Arabidopsis thaliana: one gene and its partners. The protein of the gene in region 2 interacts with the protein of the main gene of each other region in a pairwise test. Each region holds a gene or a part of one and is shown on either strand. Other genes may lie near its edges.

Region 1 (7,645 bases), on a different chromosome or scaffold from region 2:
GAAAGTGGTAGGAAGGACACGTGTCTCCACCTCGTTCGCGTAGGTGACGCGTACAATGAAGCTTCTTCTTCTTCTTCTTTAATGTACACTTTTCCTTTGTTTATTGTCAACGGTGTACGGCAGTTTCGTTGATTTTGTTTTGTATTTTACCCTTGGAGTGGAAACCAAGCCAGAGACTTTGGGGTTTTAATCGTCATTATTTCACCGTTTTGGATTAGGATGCTTTTAAAACTTCGGATAAGGAGAGAGTTAGTATTTGAATCAATGAACCAGTACAATCGTAATTCGTATGGGCCTACAGATAAAAAGATGGGCCTTTTAATTCGCTTCTTTAACTCGTTTCATATCCCTTTGTTCTATTCAACCTTTCAGGCTTTCTGCTATGGAACATGAATATTGTTGGTCCAGTTGCATCTTAACCAGGTTCATGAACATCTAACTAAGATTCAATTTGATAGCTTTATATCTTCAAAATCTCATGTTTGATCTAAGTAAACATAACATCGACAATTCTCTGTTTGTGACTTCTTGAGAGTCTCCATCACCTTTATAATGATCACACCAAATCCAAAACCAGAAAATCTCTTCAAAAGTTGTATATAATCAAACCATCTACTTGGTAAAAACCACAACTTTTCTACTGCAAAACTCACGTAAGTCTCTCGTGCTTCTGATTACAGTAAAGCTAAATTCGAAATGCAAACGTAGTGATTAAATGATCCTCAAAGCTGAGAAAAGTTGTCATTATTCAATCAAAAGATTAACAGGCTTAGAATTCCATTTTAAGCCTTACAGAATCAAATACACGAAACCAGAAACTGAAACAACACACAACAAAAGCTTGAAGGTAAAAATGCAACATTGCATCAAGTTCTTATTCATAAAACAAAGAAGATAAAAGGAAAGACCTTTTTTTTAGCCCACACTATTCATTCATTAACAGGTGATGATGATCGAGAGTGTTCCTTAGATCCCAAAAGATGTTTACTTGGTTTCAGAGAAGAAACAAGATAATATCTTTAAGAACGATAATCTGGAACAATCCCAAAGACATCACAATCAAATTCCTTGTCATTTCTTGGTGAACATAATCCGCCAAAATCTCTTCCATTCCTTCATGTATGTGAAAGACTACAGGGATTTTGCGTAAGAAAGAGCCATTAGTGTAACCTCGAGAAGACGATTGACGCGAGAATTTGGCTGCCTTGTTGAGTTCAGATTGCCCAATTGAAGACGAAATCGAGCGATCGGTGACGAGATTGGTTGAATCTGGTTTCAGTTTCTGGGCTTGTGCGAAGGGGATTGAAGAGAGGTCTCTTCCCAGTGGGTTTCTCACGGCGGCGGTGGCGGATGCGGAGGAGATGTGACTCATCGAGAAAGGTAGAGACTTTGAGAGAGTGGCTCTCTGGGTTTGACGGTGGAGATCGAGGATAGTGCGGCGGAGAGACATCGTGGCCGAGGAGATAATCTGACGGAGAAGGATTGAAATTGGATCTGATCGGAGAAACAAACCCTATGTGAAATGAATCGGAAGCACAATTCTCGTCGTAGAGGTGAAGATGCATTAATGGAGTTGGGCTTTATACTGGGCTTTTCAGAACTACCAGAAGCCCAAACCAAAACCAAAATAGATTATTATGTGCTGCATTGCATAAAATAATGGACCAATGGAAAAAAAATAATTGATTCTCATTTTTAAGTAATTTTTAGCTCAGTCTCTTGAAATGTCAATATATCATATTCATGACCAATATATAAGATTTGGTCACTTCAAAATTCAAATGTACATGAACATTCTACAAGATAATTAATCAAATATTTACCTGAATAACATTGATTGGATAATATTAACTTGTTATAACTATTGCTTTATTTGAAAAAAAAAAAGAATGGATCCCAAATTGTAACTGAATAAAGCATCCATAACAAAGAAAGAGAAGTCAAATATCTTTCATACTTTATTTGATTTTCTAAAGTATAGGAAATATTTTCCCAAGATACAAATATGTGAATCAATGGTCTAAATAAAGTTAATGAATATACTTAAACCGGATTCCTTTCACTATAAGAAAGAGAAAAGAAAAAAGGATTTTATCTATTTCTAGTTGAACCTGAAAGTTATCTATACTGAAACAAGAATAGACAAAAGCTTCACCATCATGTGAAACTTATATATCACCAGAGACCTGTGAACTAGAAGAAGGCAATGGCGGTTGCGTCGAGCTGGTCTCGGGGTAAAACGCTGCTATAAGCTTCTCTTTCGTCAATGGATCCGACCCGTTGTTAGACTTTATCACAAAAGTGTGAAACATTGTGTCTTCAGCTAATGATAACTTAGCCTCCATTAGACTAACATTTGAGTTTCTCATTGCTTGTATGATTCTTGAAGCTGGATGTGAATCCAAAGGCGAGATTACTCTTACAACAACCTCTTCATTCATAGCTTGAATGTCAACTTCTGGACTTTCTTCTACTGTTATTGTGTTTGATTCTGATAAGCTCTTATCTGTTCCTACTCTTTCATCTTCCATTATCTTGACTTTCTCTTGAAGCTCTTTGATGTAAGAAATTGCGTCTCCAAGTAGAGAAGCCTTGTCCATTTTAGAAATGTTTGGAACAACTGATCGTAAAGCGTAGAATCTTTGGTTAAGCTTCTCGCGTCTCTGCCTCTCAGCTTCCACATGGTTCAATGGCTCTTCTCTTCCGTTTGCAGGCTTTCTCCCTCTCTTTCTCGGTCTCTTCTCATCAACAACAGAAACTATTCCTGCTCCTGCTAACAAGCTCACTGGTCTTTTCTCTGTACAAGATTCTGATTTTTCTTGCTGAGTGTTTGTAGATGGATTCGAAGAAGCAGCAACTGATGATCCCGCAAACTCAATCTGCGTCTTGTAATTGTTATTATCTACAACCATATTCACATTCTCTAGCACTTTCACATCATCCCTCTGAGGTGTGTAACCAAATGTTGGACCTTTATTGTTATTATAGCCTTCCCAACTTTGAGGAGTGAATCTCTCATCCAAGTTTCTTCTCACTTCGAGCTTCTTAGGATACGCGTGAGCTCCACTCAAATCCTGCCCGAAAAGCTTGTGAATCCCTCCAGTCATGTTAGTGTTTGAAGTCACCATTACTGGTTGCGTAACTCTCCTCATGAACAAAGCTTGAACAGACTTAACCAAGCCAATGTTTTCAGGCAAAGACCAAACAGAACCAAGCTCAAGAACACCAGCATCAGTAGGAACCATAACGATCGTTCTGATTCCCGCAGATTTCGCCATAAAAGACCTGAAACAATAGTCAGACTCAGAGTTAACTGCATCAGAGAGCCACACATGTTTCCCTGAAGAATAACACCTCCCAGGACCGCCTTCACCGTGATTGAAGAAGAAATACATGGAAGCTAAGAAGAAAATCTCAGTAGCAGTAACTTTCTCTAAGCTCAAAGCATAATTGTCTTCATCAGATCCACCAAACAACCTATGAAGCTTCTGCAACACTCTCTTCCTCATATCTTGCCATGTCTCTTCCTCTGCCCCCATGTTGTTAAAATTATAAGACCTAACAACTTTTGATTCCTCTTCCTCATTAGGCTCTCGACAACACCCATCTCCCCAACCTAAGACTTGTTGTCCGGATCTAGACATGGTTTGTTGCCAGAAAATAGCGTAGTTCCAGCTGAAATTCTCCGAGTTTGGCCAATCAACGAGACTAGAGAGCTTCTTATTCAGAGTATCATCAGTTCCCATAACAAGAAAGAGATTCTGATTCGAATTAGAGTTTGCTCGAAGAAAATCAGAAGCTAAATGCCCTAAAACAGCACTAACCACCGATTTATCTTCATCATCCCAACCTAAATCACTCATATTCATCTTTCTTTATCTCCCAGATTACACCAAATCCTACCAAACCCAAAACCACTTAAACGGAGAAGAAAACCAAACCTTTCTTCTACACAACTCAATGATTGACTCAACGATGCTTGAAACCATATAAACTCGAGTCTCTCCAGCTTCAAGATTCCAGTAATCAGATTCTAAGGAAGAAAAGGTCGGAGCTTTGAACAATTTGAAGAATACCCACCAGGAAAAAATGCAAACCCAGTGATGAATCACGCTCAAGAGAAGCTTGCGCCGGTGAAGAAATATCTCGCCGAAGAAAGATTCCAAAAAGCTTTGATTTTTACAGAGAAATTGAACAATTGAATGAGAGTTGCAACTAGAAAAGTCTGAAGGTTGAAGAAGAAGAAGAAGATACAGTTAGAGAGGGAGAGAGAGAGAGAAGGAGACAAGACTTGCTGGGGTAATTGAAGTTTGTATGAAAGCTCTTTTTAAAAACCCAACCATGGTTACTTATGCACGTTAATTACTTTGGTTATTCAACTTAACCATGGTTAATAATTACTCTGATTATTAACTCTGTTTCCTGATTTTAAGTTCACTTACTTTGATTGTTTCTCTCCGAATAAAGATAGAAAATCTAAAATCTCTTTTCAAATCTATTTTGCAAATGGATTATCTCACCCCTAAATCTGGCTAGTCTTTGAATTTGTCTCCAAATCCGATTAATTTCGTAAAAGTAATACATACTTGATGGTGATTTTAGTGAAACAACGATATTTGCACTTGGTAAATTTTAGAGAAAATAGTGTTTTGTGTACACACGTGTGTATGTACCTACGTGAGAGATTCAAATTATAGTAATGTACTTAAGAAGTATAGATCACATGGTCGAAATATTTTAAAATTTATTATGTACTAAATAGTACTAAATTAATTATTTGTTTTTATTTTTTTCTCTACCAATAAAAATAACTCACATGCATAAAGAAACAAAGAAATATTGTCTGAATTGTCTGGTGGGGTTTTGGTTATTTCAGACATCGTTATTAACGTGGGTCCATTTAATTAATAGTATAGTCTGAGTATATTATTCTTATCAATAGTATATATATAGTCCTTAACTTCGATATAAAAAATGGTACGTTCTTTCTTTATTTAGATTTTTATGGAAAGAAAATTATTTGTCGCATAGGATTTGCGTGAATCTCATGCCCAACAGTAACGTTCAACAAAAAGGGTCTCGTTCTGTGAGAGAGCACCATGTGATGGACTTTTAACCTACTTTTCTATCATCATGTGTTTGTAGTTTTCTAATTGTTTTCTCCCCATTAATTAAAAACTTTTTTTATAATTACATGATTATATTCATAACCTATTTTAAAGTATTATCGCATGAGATAAGCCTCACCATGTTTTGTATGGGGATATTTTCTTATAATAATTTAAAATGACATCATTAAAATTTGCATATAAATAAAGAAAGAGATTCGATAAACCTAATTCAAACTTAGGGATAGATAGTACAATGAAAACTCGTACATTGAAATGTATACGTTGATATACTAAAGCTTTGTAAAAAAACGTGATGATAATGTACAATATTGTGACGTGACATGCAAAATTTGACCTCTTGTTTTGTAGATTAGGATGATAACGCGATGATTGGTGTCTTTTGAGTAATTCGGAGTCGCACCAACTTATAAATTCTTTATCTTCTTAAGTTCTAATAGAACAAAAAAACTCATATCTCATATTTTAATTAGTACTAAAAACTATAACCTAATACTGAACGTGTTTTGCGTAGGCTTGTTTAATACTATTTTTTTTTGTCTATAATAATTAATACTCTTTCGTTAGAAGAGAATAGATTAGATACATTGCTTCAAAAAAAAGAAAAAAGAAGCTAATAATAGTTACAAAACAAAATTGGCTTTATCATTATGAATTTCACTTATTTATCTTTTTAAGATATGTAGAGAACCTAATTTAAATTTGAATTTGTAGATTGAATTTCGGTAATTTTATATAAAATAAAACAAAATAGTTTTAACAAAATTCAAACGAGTGTTATATATACATTAGTGAGATTATGCAACGAGAATAAAAAAACAATAACGGATAAGAGTAGGGCTCAATAATCGAATGGCAGAGAGCGAATGATAGGGAAAATGTGGGGTCAAGTGGAGACACTCGTGACTACGGTGGTCTTTATTGCAGACAATAACTTCTCCTGTCTCATATGCCTTTTGAAAACGTAAATTGCAAAAATGATTTGTCGTGTTTCACTTCTTTTGTCCTCGCAATTTCGCATTCTCTTTCTCTATTCTAACGAAAAACGCGTCTAACCATTTCGTAGATGAAAAGTTGTAGAAGATTTGAGCAGCTTATCAATTTCGCATTCTTTTTCTCAATTATAAACGCGTCTATCCATTTATAAGTTGAGAAGTGTAAAGGATATATAACTTGAATGATTATCAACAAAATGTAGGGAAAATAAGCCAAAAATAAAAACGAGTTAACAAAACCGACTCTATTGTGAATTCATAATATAGGTACTAAAATTTATATTGTATCACTATTTCTTATTAAAAAAAGTGTTACCGTTCATTTATATACCTCTATATTTTCTCGAAAACTATACTTTAAAAACTACATAGAAAAACATGCATAAAATCTTAAAACAAGTTTGTTTTTCTAAAACATATTTGTATAAAGGAACCGTGGGAGTATATATATGTTAATATGTACTATATATTTTGTCATTCAACGTATGTTTTCTTCGAAAGCTACCAATATGTGTAAAACTAATGTTGCAAAGTGGTGTTACTTGGGAAAATTCGGTTAGGAACAAAGGGGCTAAATAAGTCGCTTTGTTTACGCAACTCATCTTCTATTCTTCTTTATATATCACGCGTTTTTCGTGGGCTTCAATGGGCCACATGAGGTCGACATTTTTAACCTTTATATTCAAAAGTACGGCAAAAATACATCATGCGCCACGTGGCTTTCTTTGTTTATCATAATCTCACACGTCTCACGTGTGACAAATGCTAACGCTAACTTAACTAGTGGGTTTGGTTAGCCAAAATACCAAATGATACAATAAGAAAACAAGCTGAGTTACTTGGCAACAAAATTTAGTTCGAGGTGAGAAATTCATGTGCAATTGAATATTAGTATGACTCGTCTGGCTTTAACATCAAAATCAAGCACAAAACAGAAAAATACGTCATCAAAGCAATAACTATTTGACTAATTAAGAAACTCATTTTCTTGTTTGCAAACCCTTTTTTATATATTTGTAGTTTTGTAGACAAACGAACGTGATGCGTTTGGACCAGCGTCACAGACGTTGACGGCTTTGGGACACGTTTGAAGAAAGAATACGTCGACATTTCTTATTTCAGACTTGCTCTCTTTTTAGGTTCACTACACGAATTTTCACGTACACAACTTCACAACACGTTTTAGTTACGAGATTCTGTTTTTTTGTTCGATAATTTATTTTAGTAACACGTAAATAGATGATTTATATGGTTGGTATAATTATAAATGCACCGACAGACTTGAAACTAGAAATTCTACCGACAGAAATTCTTGCTCGGAAACCATAGACTACCTACCCTATTAATGTCAATGCTATTTGATTAAAAACAAAAGCATTAATTGATCTTAGAGTTATGGGTTTATATTTTATAGGAAAGAGTAAAAGCTCATTATATTTATGGGCTTATAGAAAAGAGCAATAGCCCATTTAACCGACTTACTCTATCGGGTATAACCAAAAACCCGATAACCCGGCTCGT
Region 2 (7,462 bases):
ACCTGGAATACAAACCAATGGGATCTTGACACGCATACCCTTGCGCAAGAGTAACAAAAGAGACATTATTTCTCTCAGGCATTTCGTCGAACAGGTTTAACGCATCTTTGTCAAAGCCAGCTTTCACATAAGCGTTGAGTAGAATGTTTGTGGCGAAAAGGTCTAAGCAGCTTCCTTTCTTCAAGATGTCGCAATGAATAGCCTTTGCTGAAATTGGGTCGTTCTTCTGAATGCAGCGACGGAGCATTGCACCGTAAGCATGAGAGTCTAAGCCTGGGATTATCGAATCCGACGATTCTAAATCCAATGCCGCAGTTTTCACAGAAAACCCACATTGTCGAATGCGATTGCATCGGATCATCAATCTGCGAGTCTGCGCAACATGAATTATTCTCATGAACACGATCATGCGGATTACGAGCAGAGTGGAGACAAGTAGTGGAGTAGTGTCCAATCCGGTTTATTCAAAACCGGTTTTTCCCAACTGAGATCGAATGATTCTGGATAAACCAAATTTAAAGAGATATGGGCCGGCCCAATAATGTGTAATAGTGTGACCCATGTGGCCCAGATTCGATAACCAAATTCAAAACTAGGGTTTCTCTGAGTCTAAAGGCTTCACCCTATAAAAGAGGGCTGTAGCTGTGATGACCCAACAGACTCAGATTCGTTTCGTTAGCTCTCCTTCTCAATACTCTTCGTTATTTGTTATTCCATGTTTAAGATCTGAATTTCTAAGCTAGGATTGCTAGAATTTGTTTTGAAGTTGGTGTTTAGTTTTCCTCTTGTTTTTCTGAATCTTAATTTCAACTGAAAAAATTGATTGAACGAATCGGAGCAGATGATGAATATTTTGCACTACAACGGTGCTTTCCTATAACTCATGCGGATTATATAAATCGAGCTTTTTAAAACTGATGTCCCGATTCGTCAATCTCTTTTCTAACTTCTGTTTTGTTTGCTCAAAACTGATAATGGTGAATTTTAAATTATGCAATTTCCTTTTTTTTTGGGTTATGAAATCTCTCAGTTCCGCAGATTGTATTGCCATCTAGCAAGTAATTTTTTTTATAATCAAATTTACAAGGATTTTCCTCAAATTAAGTATTCCTGTTTCTTAAGTTTGTTTCCAAACTGATGTGAATCAGTTAGTACAGGTTTTGTTTTTGGACATTCATTTTCTCGATCTGTTGATTGATATAGGATGTTTCATTCTATTGGAATGATTTGGCCGAATGCTATGTAAATAGCTGGTTGATATATTAGATTTTTTCCAGACGAACAGGATAAACTGTTGGTGTTGGACCAAATCGAATCAAATAATTAATTTGAATTACTCGTGATGAATCAAAGATATTAGGATTGGCTTATGCAGTCAACTTGACCAAAGCCAAACACTTGACTAATCTGAATCTGAATCTAAACCAAACATCTGAATCAGAGCTACTAATTAAAACTTGATATACGGTATTCCATCTTCAAAGCTTAAACAACATGATGTAAGTTTAGTACTCTCATTAGCCATTGCAATGTGCAAACTAAGTTTATGTCATCGCAGTAGATTAAATGAGAAGCAATTTACTTGACACAACTTAAAGAGACACGAAAACATTTTTAAGAAACTACATGTAATAAAAAAACTCTCACGTATGCACATGGTGGTATTTATTTCATATCAATAAGCTACAGTATCTTGGTTTCAATGATAAAGAAGACGCAGTGAATGGTTGTGTGGTTTTTGTTTCTTAAATCCGGACCAGCCATCCCTTTTTTGTTAGTACTAGTGATGGATACTATTCAATGAAAGGGGTAATTGTCTAAAAGAAGCCACACAAAGTACGTTCACTTTACCACTTCTTTTCATCTTCATTCCAATGTACAAATTCCACCAAACTCATGTTAAAAGACTTTTGACATAAAGACACAATTAGTCGGGTAGACTTGATAGTATTATATAACTAATACTCACGTGTTTCTTAAACTGTTTTCCATTATAACAATTAGGACAACCCAAGCTAGAGACCAACCAATATAATCAAAGATGAATGGCCACATTTCCTTTAATAATACTCTGATACGGAAGCTTCATGAGAAGCTAAAAGAGGCGTGTTATAATTTTCTTTACCATATACTAAAAAATAAAACAAAAGTAGAAGGTCACGGGATAAGAGAGAGCTTCTTAAATCAAGCTATCAATGACAATAAAGATAATAGACATTTTTAAAAACAAACCAATATATATAATCTTAGTAGGTAACGTAATCTCCTAAAAACGTTTGTCGTGAATAGTATACGATTTAGCAACGACGAAGAAGGCTTCAAAAGAAGATTGGAAATAAGCCAAATCCAAAAACGAACATGGATGTCTTCCGATTGAAAAAGACAAATTTGGTCCATGTCCCAATCTAAAAAGAGATCGTTTAGGCCGATGTCGGATAGTAAGGAGATGTTGATACTAATCTGCAAACACAACAAGACGAAAAAGAAAATGTGAAACCGCGTTTTGTGATAACTTATATAATATACAGATCTTTCTTTGGCCGTATGGTCTGATAAAAGTAAAAGTTCAAATTTTTTTCCGGTGTTTCTCCTCGTTTTCTCATCATTTTGAAAAATATAACTTGTCGGTGTAGCAAACAGAACTAGAGTCAAAGACTCAAAGTCAACGCGCTTTTTAAAAGTTCCATTACAATAGTAACCTACGTATACCGATATTACTACTGATCTCCATTATCTATCTACGTATAAGCATGTGCGTTGTTGAACAAAACTAGTTGAATCTTAAGTTGTATGTGAGAGTAAAAGAGGCAGGACCCATAATTACTATCTTAAATAACTTATAGTAAAAAAAAGGTCGAGAGAGAGAAAAATAAAAACCTTTCTTTAATTATTTGGGGGTAAAAATCCTTGGATTGTTGAAGAATCATTACCTCTCCTTGCGCTTCTCGAGAAAACGTTGCAGTGACTTTCTCCTTGCGATGGGAAGATCTGCATACACACGCATAAACCAGTTTCTTATCAGAAATTAAACAACATGTTTATACTTTTATTAATAACGTATATTAATACGTATAGACATAAACTATAGTCTTTAACTCTTTGATATCTAATTCCAAACTAATTAGCAACCAATTCCTCTCTAACAACAAACTCTTCTTAGATCTCTACATGCAATAATATGTAACTAAAATTCTAGAAGAATCCAGCACTAAGTGATTTTTATTTTTATTATACTAACCTCCTTCTAGATTCTGGCCAAAGAGCTTTGGTCTTAGAGTGGTCGGAAGAATTACCGAAAGATCTGTCTCCATCGACGACTCGTCTTTCTTAGATGCTGCTTCATTAGCGACCTTCATAATTTCACCAGCTTTGTTACGAGACACTTGGAAAACTGAAACACTTCCATTGTAGAAAATCGTCATAGGAACAGTTCCCGAAACGAGTTCGGTACTAGACCTGAGGAAAATGAATGTTTTGAAAATTTGAATTTCAAATTTTTTCGTCTTTTCTGGTAGCGCCAAAAAAGTTAGAAAGAAAAAAAAAACTTTACCGGAAAGACAAAAATACCTGGCGAGAGACGCGTGGACCGGAGAAATCGGGATCTGAGGCTGATCTTCCCTCGGAGTAGACGGAACCGAACGAGATTTAGCCGATGAATCGGAATTGTTTCCAGTGGAAGCTAACAGCGATTTGATAATCTCCGGATCGATTTTCGAAATCGCACCTTGAATATCTGCAGGAGTTCCATATGAATAAATTCGATTTATCGCAAGAAAAAAAAAAGAGAGAGCGACTAAAAACCAAACGAACCTCGGAAACTACGACGGCGATCGAGAAATTTCTGGAACTTAGGCTTAGGAGCGTTGTTGGTTTGTTTCTTCTCAAGTCCGAGGAAATCGAGTTCTATGGTAGCTTTCGACATCTTCTTTGATCTTATTAGAAAGTGAGAGAGAGATCAAGACAGAGAGATATGGGTTTTGAGATGAATAAATGGAGGAATAATAACGGATTCTGATTTCTCATGTGAGAGTTTTTAAAATGTAGTATGTCTCTGATACTTATTTAACGCACGAGGTTCATGCTTTCTCTTTCTTTTCGGCACAATTGGCAACCTATCCACTTTTTCCTTTTTGTTTTGTTTTTATTAGGCTCCCAACCTCTTCTCTTACTTATCTAATTAATTTAATGATTCAAAACACATGTTTAAATTCTTAATATACCTAATGTAATGTAATTGCTTGCTACGCAGAAAGAAGATATTTTATATCCGGAAATAACGGAAGTCCAATGAACATTGTAATGTTTTATAAAAATATATCTTCAAAAATTTGGTAACATGTTTCTGTTACTGTTCGTCACATTGGGTTCTTCTGACATTATATTTGTTTTCTACTCTAGTCTCTGATCTGTATATTTTTCTCGAAACATGTTTTTCTTTTCCATTTTTTCTTAATATGAATTTTAATCTTGCTACTACTAGCTCTACTAGTATAGCAAATCACATTTAGTAGATATCAGTCTTATTGATTTTTCAATATAAACAAAATTTGACATTACTATTCAAGAATAATATTTGGTTGACCTAATAATACAACTGAAATTTCTTACATTTCTAAACTAAAGTACACCAATAAACTTTCATCATATTTGGGAAAGTAACCAATAAAACATACAAATAGGGATTTTAGAACAATAAAATGTTGGTGGTGATTCACAGTTAGTGTTTTGAAAGAAGAAGAAAAAATAAGATTTTCAAATCCATTCAAAAAAAGATTTAAAGAAAACACCACTGCAGATGCATAAAGACTAGGTCAAGTCGGAACTTGGAAGTTTGTTTTCTGCCAAACCAGAAAAGACGGGTCGATCCTTTGGACGATGTCGATGGTTTTTCTTTTCTTTTCTTAGTTTCACATTTTGGCTGGTGTTTTTTTTTCACATGTGGCCGCTCTTTTTCTTGTTCTCTTGTTTAAAGCATATGTGGCTGCTCGTTTCCTAACAGATTTACATATTATTACATTGTTCTCAAGTAAAGTTATAGAGGGATTCAATGAACTCACGTTTTTCTTTCTTGTGAAAATATACCTTGAACCACTTCCGAATTAAATTGACCTCAATTTTCTATCTTGTGCTCAAATTTAAACTTCACCTTATTCTATCGCGCGCATGTTAGCTTAATTAGTTACATTTCTCCTTTTTACTATTTTAAATTAAAAATCATATAACTACAAAATGTAGTGATTACGAAAAGTAATTTTTTTAATTAATATTCTGAACTAATCAAATATTAAAAAAGAATTACGTATAAAAAACTTTTTTAGTAGTATATATTTGATGCCGAAAGTGAAAGTTTTTTTTTTTTTTTTTTCTTGGCAACCGAAAGTGAAAGAGTTAGATGCATGTCTTTCACGTGTTGGGAGCTGTAGTAGTAGTAGTTAATGTCAATACATATCATTATTCACTAGGCTAAGGTGCACTTCTCGATAAGTCTTTAGAGGTTTTCGTCGCTCTCTTTCATCTTCTCACGTTCCAGAGTCAATACGCCTTATTTATTCTTTTTCTTCCGATTATTTTTATTTGTGTTATCACACGTTTTGTCAGTGCTGCCGATTTTTAATGTCGATGTATTTTTCAAGCTGACTAATTTGCCCCTCTGTCCACCTTTCATATACGACCTTACCCTTCTTTTGGCCTTTAATCTCAGAAACACATATTTAACATTTTCAAATTTTTTGAATCGAATCTTGAAACGAAATATGAGAACACTAATGTATAGTGGATTTATTATATTGGATTTAACATGTATAGTGGATTCATCATTACTGTATTATCTATATTTTTTTTCTTGCATAAAACTAAATGGCCGAAACTTTAAGTCGTTTACAGCCCACACTAGTTAGTACCCTTACATAAGAATATAATTGAACCTATAGTTGAAAAGCCCCTTAAGGTAGTAAACCCATTTAGAGAAGAAAAGCCCATTTGAAGAAGTAAATCTGTAAATGAAACGGTTGTTCTTGTTGTCGTTCATTTCCAATACCATCCATAGTTTGCGTAAGGTTTGCTCGCCAAAGTCGTCGGATTCTGAATTCTAAACGCCGAGATCCGATGATACGAGTGATTGTTTCCGGCGAACTATGAGTGTTTTGAAGCAGGTTACGTGTAGAGAGAGCATCGATTGATGAATAAAAGCCAGGTTAGTGGTCTCGTATCGATTACTTGGTTCAGAAAAAAAAAGTAAAATCAATGGGCCAAATTTATTAAAATAAAATTGCAATGGAAGCTTCAACCATGAAACAGGAATACAAAACCAAACTCAAAAAAACAGTAAAGCTTCTTAATCAACAACAACAAGCGACTTATACTCATCTTTAGAAATAGCAGTCTCCATCATCATCACAGGATCAATCTCTCCATCATGTTCCAAAAACATTTTCATCAAATTCTTCGAAAAGCCACTCACCAAAGCCACTCCTTTCTTGTTTCCCGGCACCGGCGTTGCTCTCGAATCCCTCAAGTTCCAAAACACTATCTCCGGCACAACGTCTCCATACCCATTCTGTTTATACTTCCTCACAATCACTTCATAATCCGTTTCCCATCCATTACTTGGATTACTTGGAGGCTGCCTTAAAAATGCATAGCCTGGTCTTGAATAATGTGACGACGACGCCGCTTGATCAAACTCCATATCACTGAACACAAACACCCTCTTGATCATCTCTTCCGGCTTCAGCTTCTCTTGTACGGCCACTCCAAGAATCAAATCAAACACTTTCTGAAAATCAGTGTTCATACCCCATTGCATTTTTTTAACAAACTCTGTTTTTGAGTACAGATCGTCTCCTTTCACCAAATGCAACTCCGGATTTTGGCTGAAAGTTATTAGCTTTCCTTTCCATGGCTCTTCAGATAGCTCAGAGACTAGCAGACCCAAAGCCACACAAACCTCCATTGGTTCACCATTCATAGACCCTGAAACGTCACAGACAGCTATACAATTCCTCAAAGAACCTTTCTCTTTCATATCATCTACCGTTCTCTTCCATTGCAGCTCTGCTACTTGTCCACCGTCTCCACCGTCTAACTCTCTGATTATCTCATGAGGCAACACAGCACCAGCAGCTACCTTGGTTTTCCCCGCCTTTGCATCGTCAAGATATTGCTGAAACCTCTCTGCGTCGTGCTTCAAGAATATCTCCTTGTACGACTTCATCGCCACTGATGCTACACGGTTGTACGGAAGAATATCCCAGTTTCTCGCTCCCATATATACTTCAGGCAGTTGCAGAGTTTTACGCAGAGGAACAAGAACATCTTTCCTTAGCCGATCACGAACTCTGTATGCATAGTGAGCTTCTACAACGCCTTCGTATTCAGGGAATGATTCTCGAGTAAAGATCTTCCTAGCAATGCTCTCGCAGAGAAGAGTTGCTTTGTCAAACGAAGAGTCAAGCGATGGACA
Region 3 (8,360 bases), on a different chromosome or scaffold from region 2:
ATTTTACAAAATAAGTTACGAAGACTGTATATCTTGGTACATATAAAAACGAGAATGGAAATTGGAATCAATATTGGCTCTACACCAATAGGATCAGATTTTGTTAATCTTCGCATTAAAATCGAAGACGCCTTAATAAAGCAAGTCAGGGAACTCCAGTGCCTGCATATAGAAACAATCAGGCACACTACCATAAACAAACAAACAAAAACAACCAGTTACTAGTGCAATAAGTTCGATGTTATGTTTGTTAATTACCACAAAACTGTGTACAAGTGATAGTCCAGTGGTATATCCTTACTACGAGTCAAGTTCTCAACGTCTCTTGGAACTGGATAAGTTCTACTTTCATCCATATCTGTGTACGTACTCTCTATATACATTGTGTCCTCACCAAACCCCATGGCTAGAGCTAGTTTAGGAACGTCAAGGTAGAACCACGCAAGCGAACTTGGATAATTTACTAGAGTATATATGCCTGGAGTTTCACTTTTCCTAACTACACCCACCACTTCCACATGCATAGCCCTAGAGACTTGGTCCTGCTAAAAAATATTCCAATAACACTTAACTATGATATCAAATCATGCAATGAATGATTGAGTACTCATTAAGTTTATGAAATGAAGACCAACCTCAACAATCATTGGGTTGTTCAACTTGTACCAGAACTTCGACAAGAGACTTTGTTGAGAGGAGAGAAGTTTATTAGCTTTTCTTGACTCTTTTGCAGCAGCAACAAGACCACCAGTACCTAGAGATTCTAGAGAATTTTCTTTCCAATCCGAAGGAACCCATCCGCGATTTACTAGAATAGGGGACTTCATACTAGTGACAAAAGGAAGAAGAAAAAGATAGTTAGACCATGTTTGTTTGTTTGTTTGTTTTGGTGCATTTGTATGCAACCTTATTTGTAAGAGACACAAAATTTGCAAGTATTTGCATCTAGTCTAGATGTTGCATCCAAACACTTAAATATACAAGAAAAAAGATATTTGCATCAAGATGGTATATATGGAGATCAAAAAGACTTTAGTTTGGTTTGCGCATATAGAGAGTAAATCCCTGACCTATTAGGTTCATTAGGGATTGGCAAAAGAGGTGTAATGACATAAAAGCCAATTTCAGAACTTTTAGACATGGATCTAGGCTTTGGACCCACATAGATCGATCTTTGCTCATCGAAAATGCCTTTGCATACCACCCGTCGAAATCCTAACCCATCCAAATCTTTCGTTGTATTCAGCTTCATTGGTTTCATTTCCAAGCATTGTTTTCTAGAATCAAGATGTTCCTTGTACTTGAAACAAAAGAGTTTGAACAAATTCTTTAGCAGATCAAAGAACAACACGTATAATTAAAATGTATATAATGAAAATCACAGACCACTTGTGTTTGTAGGAACTTATACGTCTCACCGAGACCATAAGTAGTGAATCCAACTAAGTACCATAACAACGCTGACCCTCTTTTCTTCTCTGCAAAACATTTTTACACAAAGATTCAGAACCAAGATTCAGAACTTAATCACAAATTAGACGAGAGAGAGCATGTGCAAGATACTTGCGGGTGGTGGAGCTGAAGAAAGCAATTGGCTCTCAAGATTGGAAGTTTGTGAAGCAGCAGGGAGATTGCTAGTAGTAGAAGAAGACATGTACTGACTTTGAGAAATCAACCTCTTAAATATCTTGGAAACGAGTTTTGTCATCTTTTTCTCCTCCAGGATCTTCTCTTTGTCTCATCCAAGATTCTTGATCTACTATATATGGCGACGACGACGAGGACTGATTAAGTATATAAACTAATGTTTTATTTTCTGATATAGCACATGGCACCAACTAATTAAATGACTTTCATCTGCTGGTGGAAATATTTTATATCAATTATCGAAAAAAAAGTATAAACATAAAGTTGACTTCAACAAAATCTAGAAGAGCTTGAATAGTCTTACTTTTATGTTTTTTATACACATGCAAGAGTAAAGACAAAACATACAGTATCCAAATTAAATTTATAGGATATATATAAATAACTTGCTTTTACAAGCCCAGTGTACTAAAATCTGAATAAACAAAAGCTATAACAACTATACTATAGTCTATAGGATACAGAGCCAGAGAAAAAAGAAAAAGCCTTTAGAACAATGAGGGGTCTAAATTGGTTTTAGTGCAGATGATGAGCTGGAGGACAGCTTACACATTCAGACATCAGTGTTCTACAGTCTATTGATGACTTGTTGTCTACGTAATAAGGTGATACGTTAATGACCCTGCAAGAAAACGAAGCCAATATACAGCAAACCTGTGTTTTGATATTGTGAATAAGTGAATAATCTTGTAGCTCAGTACCTTTCTTTGCGTTTCTCTAAGAACCGAGCCAAGGATGCTTTGCGTGTTTGTGGTAAACCCACTGTATTAAATCATAGCAAGATTTTTTGGTTATAACAAACTAAACCTAAGATAGAAGTTTGATGACAAAACATTAATAGGAGTTAAGACTTCATTTATAACCTGTTGGAGCCATAGAGAAGGCAGCAGTTTGGTTGTTGCGCGTGGATGCTAAACTCGCCTTTGTTTTTGTTGGTCCAAGTCCAGTAACCCCGTTGGATCCACTACTTCTGGTTTCAGAGACAATGTAAGAGATGGAAGGCAGGAAACTAGGAGGCATAGTTGGAGGATCAGTGGTTGGAAGAGAGTGATGAACCAGTTTTTGAGGTTTAGGTTGTGAAACCGGTTTAGCATGAGGTCCATTTCCGGCTAGCAACATGATAGCTTGGGCCTATGAATACAAAATAAATGAAGAAGTAAGGACAAAGATTTATCATATCTATGAATCATTAACATACTGTATGTTGAAACCAGGTTAGTAACTTTCTATAACTTCAGCATGTCTATACGTGAAACTTATTTCTTTGATTGAATACTTAGTCAGTGGATAGCTTGGACTGTAATGTAACACATATTGAAGGAAATTTGGTTACCTTTTCAGGAGCTATGTCTTGGTAAACTAATACTGAACCGGCATAAAAGATTGTCAACTGAGGGGGAAGTGGTTTTGAAGAAGATCTGGAGATGAACATAAAGGAGCTCGAGTCAACTATAGAAGTAAAGAGGTTCTGTATCTGATGTTAAACAGAAGAAGATAGAATGCAGTGCATGCCTAATAGTGGTTGGAGCAGGAAATACTGAAACTGGAGGTGCCATGATAGGAGATCCTCCTAAATGTTGGTGGTTTATGAAACTGTTGATGTAGTTTGGTTCGGACATGGAGACTGTGATGGTTGTTTGGTCTTGCTGACTGGAACCTGGGAACACTCTGTCTTCCTGAGATCATTTTGTATCAATTTTGAGACCAGAAGAAACTAAACCAATTGCCAAGCTTTCTTACAAGGTCACTAAATCACACTTTATCACTACTTTTTTTCTTTTCAAGAAATAGCCTAACCTGTAGTGAGCTGAAGTAAGTTCTCTGGTTTTGATCCATTGCAGCAGAAGAAAGCAAATGATCATTGACTGTGTTTACACGCGTTTCTTGTTGGGATGTCCCAAAAGAAAGAAACTGAGGACCAGAACCGACTTTGCTTGAGAATGACCAATCCATCATACCTCTACTTGGGGCTGAAACATGAGCAAATGTCTTTAGATTTTATCAAACTAGGAAACACTCAGATCTAGCTATGCTAAAGTGGACGACTCTTAACATTAGATTCATCAACAATGAACAAATCTGCATAAAGCCAAACACACTGGGGAAAATAGTGATCATACAAATACTTTCAAGAAATGGCACGTTTCGGAATATAAAAAGACAAGAACTAACTATTAAATTCCTCGTGGGTAAGTAAATTATTCATCCAAATTGTAACTTGATCTAAATTTAATACCCAACATGATCCTAACTTAATCAATGAGTCTACTTGGATAGAAATAAAACTTAATCAAGTCACAATCAATCTTGCTTTTATATAATTCAACTTGCATTTGTTGTTAAATCTCTAATCGTCAGCCGGTCGCTATATAACGCATTCTTTTCCCAACATTTCACGTCTTCGTTTTTAAATAATACTGATAGAATTCAAGTTGCTTAATAAACCTTAAAAAATGGCATAAACTTTTCAAAAAGAATAACCAGCCAATGTTCTAATTCTCAATATTCAATCCGGCTTTGAAAAAAACAATCTTTTCTAAAGAAGATACTATTGTATTGAAACCAATTGATCAATTTTGTAAGCAACAAAAAAAATATAGCATTTTTGTTCTGTCGGTGTCGGCTGTTTGAAGAAAAAAACGAAATTATTTTGAAAACACTCAACATTACCAACAGCTTTAGAAACATGCATCACCTAGTCACCTAGAAAATCAAGTTTGTTCTCTGAATATTATTTTTCAAAGATAATACTAACACTTGTTAAATTACTAACGTCAACAAGTTTGGTGTTTGCTTGTATAGTTGTATACTTGTACATTTGTAGTTTGCAAAAAATATTTAATGAAAAAAACTTCAAAAGTAGATCGTGAACGTATGAATTTTCTAACTATCGAGTCCCAAAACGTGTTTTTTCATCGGCTACGTCAAACAAATTCGAGTAGCTAAATTTCTGTCTATAGTACTAAAACCTAATTTCTTAAATATATATCAAGAAAAAAGAAACCCTAATTTATTTTTTCTCTTCCCGAGAAAACGAAGAAAAAATTTCTTGTTCAAGAAAAAACCAGACAGTAGGACTCCCAATCAAGCTAGAAAAACAATATATATGTACTTGAACAATAAACAAAAAAAGAGATTACAAAAATAGAAACAAAAAAAAGTGAGATGAAAAACACAATCATCAGATCATAATGGAAGATGTTGAAGATGAATTACCTGAATCTTCGTTAGTTTCCTCCTTCACAGTTATCGGAGATAACTTTGATCCCAGCCCGAGAAAATCTCTCTCCATCAGGCTTATCAATCGTTGAGAATACAAAAACGGTTTAGCTTTCGCGGGGGAGAAAAAAAATGTCACCGGAGAAGAGAAGAAATGAGAGATCAGAGAGAATTAGTAACAATTGAAGGACTTTGGAGAGAAATGAAAAACGTGAGTTGAAGTTACACACACCGCCGATTTATGATTCCTCTAATGATGTATACATATATTTTTTTAATATAAATCATCCGATGCGGTATGTGTATATCCCACGTCTGCTTTCCTGTTCCGGAATAAACTTCCAATATTAGAAATTCAATCATCGGATATAAATATATATATTTATTTTTATTTTGAACAACTTGGATATAAATATATAAATATATAAATATGTCGTTAATATCAAACTTAAAATAATGTTTTACATTATTTATTTTTATATTTAAAGCTGATAAGCATTATAATAAGAACCCTTATTCTCAAGTTAAAAGAGAGCAATTATTTGTAGTGCATTGAGTCATTGACTCATTCATTCTACACAACAAAACATGGTAATAATGTGGTTGAGAAGAGCTTTCACCGTCGTCTCGATCCCTCTTCATACAAAGTTTGAATTCTTGCTTTGGGTCATGCAGTGCCTCATTATTGATTTATCTTTGATTAATGTTTTTTTTAGATAAGAATTAACCTATAGATCGTAGCCATCCCGGATGAATGGCCTTCTTTTTTATAGAGATTGATGGTTTTTCTCGTTTAAAGTTTTTTTTGGTATGCTCATGTCCTTGTTAAAAAGGCTAGATTTCATTTGTTAAAATCTAGCATTTATGCTTCGTATTGGTTCTCCCATACGGAGAACTTCCTCTTTTACTGTTGTTAGATTTCGTTTGTTAATATATCAAAGTATTTTTGTTTTTGGATAAACCCTAAGAGTTCCTAAGAAAGAGGTTATTTTCGGAACTGTAAGAGTTAATAGTCATGAGGTTAAATTACAAGTACATGTACACTGCTGAGCTCCCATGTTCATACCAAGTTCGAGTGTATGGAGCTTACCCTTGGCATTATGAATTTATGAGCAAGCTGCAAAACTTGCCACATAGAACCAGAGCCAGACCAAAAAAATATAAGGCTCCATACGAATTATGGAAAAAACAATTCTTCTTGAGATTATATAAGTCATTACCATATAATATTTTTAAAATTAAAAATTAAAGTTTATAAATATATTCTAATAAGCTGATTTTATATAGGTTCCAGATTTTAAAAAGAAAAAACATAACAAAAAGAGAACGTTGAACACAAGTTTTAGCAAAGTTGTCGATAGAGGGACACAATGAGATATGGTTCCCATACGTTACTCCAAAGTATCCCTTTTTACTTGGTTGGTTGTGAAAAACAGAATTTGAGTAGAGAGACAATGAGAAAGTGGTATGTAATGTAGATTCGAGTTGCATTTTTTGCAATGAACAGGTAGAGAGACGAAGGAACACTTATTTTTCCACTGCGCCTACTCAAAAAAGATATGGGAAGACTTAACAAGGGGAATTCTCTCGGACAGATATTCGGCGAGTTGGACAGAGGTTATGAAAACTTTATCTAAAAACCTTCTATACAAAACGAAGAGCTACATACTTAGGTATGCACTACAGACAGAACTCTATACACTCAATTTGGAATGAACAAAATAGGAGGAGGCATCAGGCATGGGGAGCAATCATCACCGACGGAAATACTTGTGAAGATTATAGACAAGAATCTTAGAAACCGTTTGAGCACAATTCAAGGTAGTGGAGGATTGAAGTTCAAAGATGGCATCCAAGTTTGGTTTAAAACTTTGAATCAAGGCAATAGATAATAGACAATTAGAAGTTCCTTTTCTTTAAAAAAACTCTCAAAACAATTAGCATTTCATATGTAACAAGTTTATTTTTCTTTTTAATATAATTTAACATTAAATTCAAAAAGAAAAAGTTTTAACATATTTTTATTATAAAAATCTGAATTAATTTAGTAAGAAATAAATAAAAATACTTGTTATTCGAAAAATCTGAATTAGTTTAATTAGAAGTAAATAATTACAAAAATTATCTATTAGGTCCATATCAAATAATTTATATAGATATTATCTTCTAACATTAAATATAACTATAACTATTCAAATTTGTATCTAACAATTATTACTTTAGTGGGTGCAAATATATCAAATTCCAGCAGTGTTGAAAATTTGTTAGATTTCTTTATTCATATATAAATAATAATATGCCCAAAAGTTTCTAATATTAATTAAAGCTAAATTTTCGAAAGAAAAAAAAATGTTATTTGACTGCAACGATAATGAAAAATTAAAAATTAGTTGGATTGATTAACTCAATTATAAACAAAAATACGACCGAAATATCTTTTATTAATCAAAAATTCAAAACTATAACTTTTGTACATACATAATAAATTATTACACGATTTAGTATGAACATATAAAATCACAACGATAATTAAAATTAGTTAGATTTATTAATTTAAATATTTAAAATTACGCGCGAAAGGCGAAAGCTTCTATATAATATCAAAAAATTCAAAACTATGTAATTTCTTTCTATTTTTCTCCAAAAATTTAAAACTCTTCAAGTCACAATAAATTCATTTATGATAAAATCTTCAAGAAATTATATTCATAGTCTTATCTTTTTTGTTTTCTTCATTCATAGTCTTATCTACTTTACTCATTTATGCATATAAAATAAGAAAATGCAGTCCTTAGTACTTAATCTTCAGTTTGAAAGTCATTAACGTTTAATCATAGTCAAGTTTCGTCTTTAACAGGTTTGACTATTTGTTTCCCTAATCTTCTTCGTTTTAGGCTTTAATAAAAGATTAGTGTCCCACTTAACAGTTACGTCCGTCGTCTTCTTCGTCCATTCATCGAAAGCTTGGTTTTGAATTTTCTTAAGTTTTTGAAATCGTAACGGAGATTGAAGGTAAGAGACATAGCGAGAAGAGATTTTGCTTTTGAATTGGATATGGCGTTTTGGAATTTTGCCGTAACGTGTTTGTTGTGGTAAGGTTTGAGGTTTGGAAATCTCTCGAGAGAAGTCAAATATGGTGTTCAAGAGCAAACTCTTCTTCTCCTCGAAGAAATCGAGATCTTCTAGTCCCAGTAGCAGCAACAGTCCACGATCTGTTGGCTCCGATTCTCCGATTCGATCCGATAAGAAGAAACCGAAATCAAATTCTAAAGAGGAAACTCGGAGCCCTAATACGAAGAAGCATGTCTCAGCGAAGGGTAAAGAAGCTTCGTTAGAAGTTCACTCTTCTAGTCCAGGCAAATCAAACTCGTCATCTTCTGGTTCCGAGGCGAAGAAACCAATTACTGAAACGCCGGCGACTTCTGACGTGAAGGAGGAATCGCCGGCGTCGGTTTCGCCTATCATGGCTTCATCTTTGGGTTTGAATAGAATCA

Evidence for each region.
Region 1: the proteins of JAZ10 (region 2) and AIB interact in a two-hybrid assay, tested with the Arabidopsis thaliana proteins (one study listed by BioGRID).
Region 3: the proteins of JAZ10 (region 2) and JAZ4 interact in a two-hybrid assay, tested with the Arabidopsis thaliana proteins (one study listed by BioGRID).

The regions. Positions count from the first base shown.
Region 1 is NC_003071.7:19,089,019-19,096,663, forward strand, and holds AIB (ABA-inducible BHLH-type transcription factor), read right to left. Parts: upstream 4,356-7,645; 5' UTR 3,870-4,355; coding exon 2,169-3,869; 3' UTR 1,935-2,168; downstream 1-1,934. Other genes in the region: SDH4 (succinate dehydrogenase subunit 4), read right to left, coding at 995-1,450. UniProt on the Arabidopsis thaliana protein: Transcription activator. Positively regulates abscisic acid (ABA) response. Confers drought tolerance and sensitivity to ABA.
Region 2 is NC_003076.8:4,215,461-4,222,922, reverse strand, and holds JAZ10 (jasmonate-zim-domain protein 10), read right to left. Parts: upstream 4,096-7,462; 5' UTR 3,923-4,095; coding exon 3,811-3,922; intron 3,734-3,810; coding exon 3,239-3,733; coding exon of another isoform or gene 3,234-3,238; exon of another isoform or gene 2,989-3,233; coding exon 2,927-2,988; coding exon of another isoform or gene 2,884-2,926; 3' UTR 2,461-2,883; coding exon of another isoform or gene 2,421-2,460; 3' UTR 2,010-2,420; downstream 1-2,009. Other genes in the region: AT5G13230 (Tetratricopeptide repeat (TPR)-like superfamily protein), read right to left, coding at 1-409; AT5G13210 (Uncharacterized conserved protein UCP015417, vWA), read right to left, coding at 6,335-7,462. UniProt on the Arabidopsis thaliana protein: Repressor of jasmonate (JA) responses. Interacts with and suppresses RHD6 and RSL1 transcription factor activities to negatively regulate jasmonate-stimulated root hair development.
Region 3 is NC_003070.9:17,928,237-17,936,596, reverse strand, and holds JAZ4 (jasmonate-zim-domain protein 4), read right to left. Parts: upstream 5,208-8,360; 5' UTR 4,940-5,207; coding exon 4,864-4,939; intron 3,998-4,863; exon of another isoform or gene 3,618-3,997; coding exon 3,445-3,617; intron 3,324-3,444; coding exon 3,160-3,323; intron 3,066-3,159; coding exon 2,981-3,065; intron 2,779-2,980; coding exon 2,511-2,778; intron 2,410-2,510; coding exon 2,349-2,409; coding exon of another isoform or gene 2,342-2,348; exon of another isoform or gene 2,270-2,341; coding exon 2,164-2,269; 3' UTR 1,935-2,163; downstream 1-1,934. Other genes in the region: AT1G48510 (Surfeit locus 1 cytochrome c oxidase biogenesis protein), read right to left, coding at 1-162, 259-545, 636-828, 1,071-1,300, 1,387-1,478, 1,564-1,708; AT1G48490 (Protein kinase superfamily protein), read left to right, coding at 8,000-8,360. UniProt on the Arabidopsis thaliana protein: Repressor of jasmonate responses. Interacts with and suppresses RHD6 and RSL1 transcription factor activities to negatively regulate jasmonate-stimulated root hair development.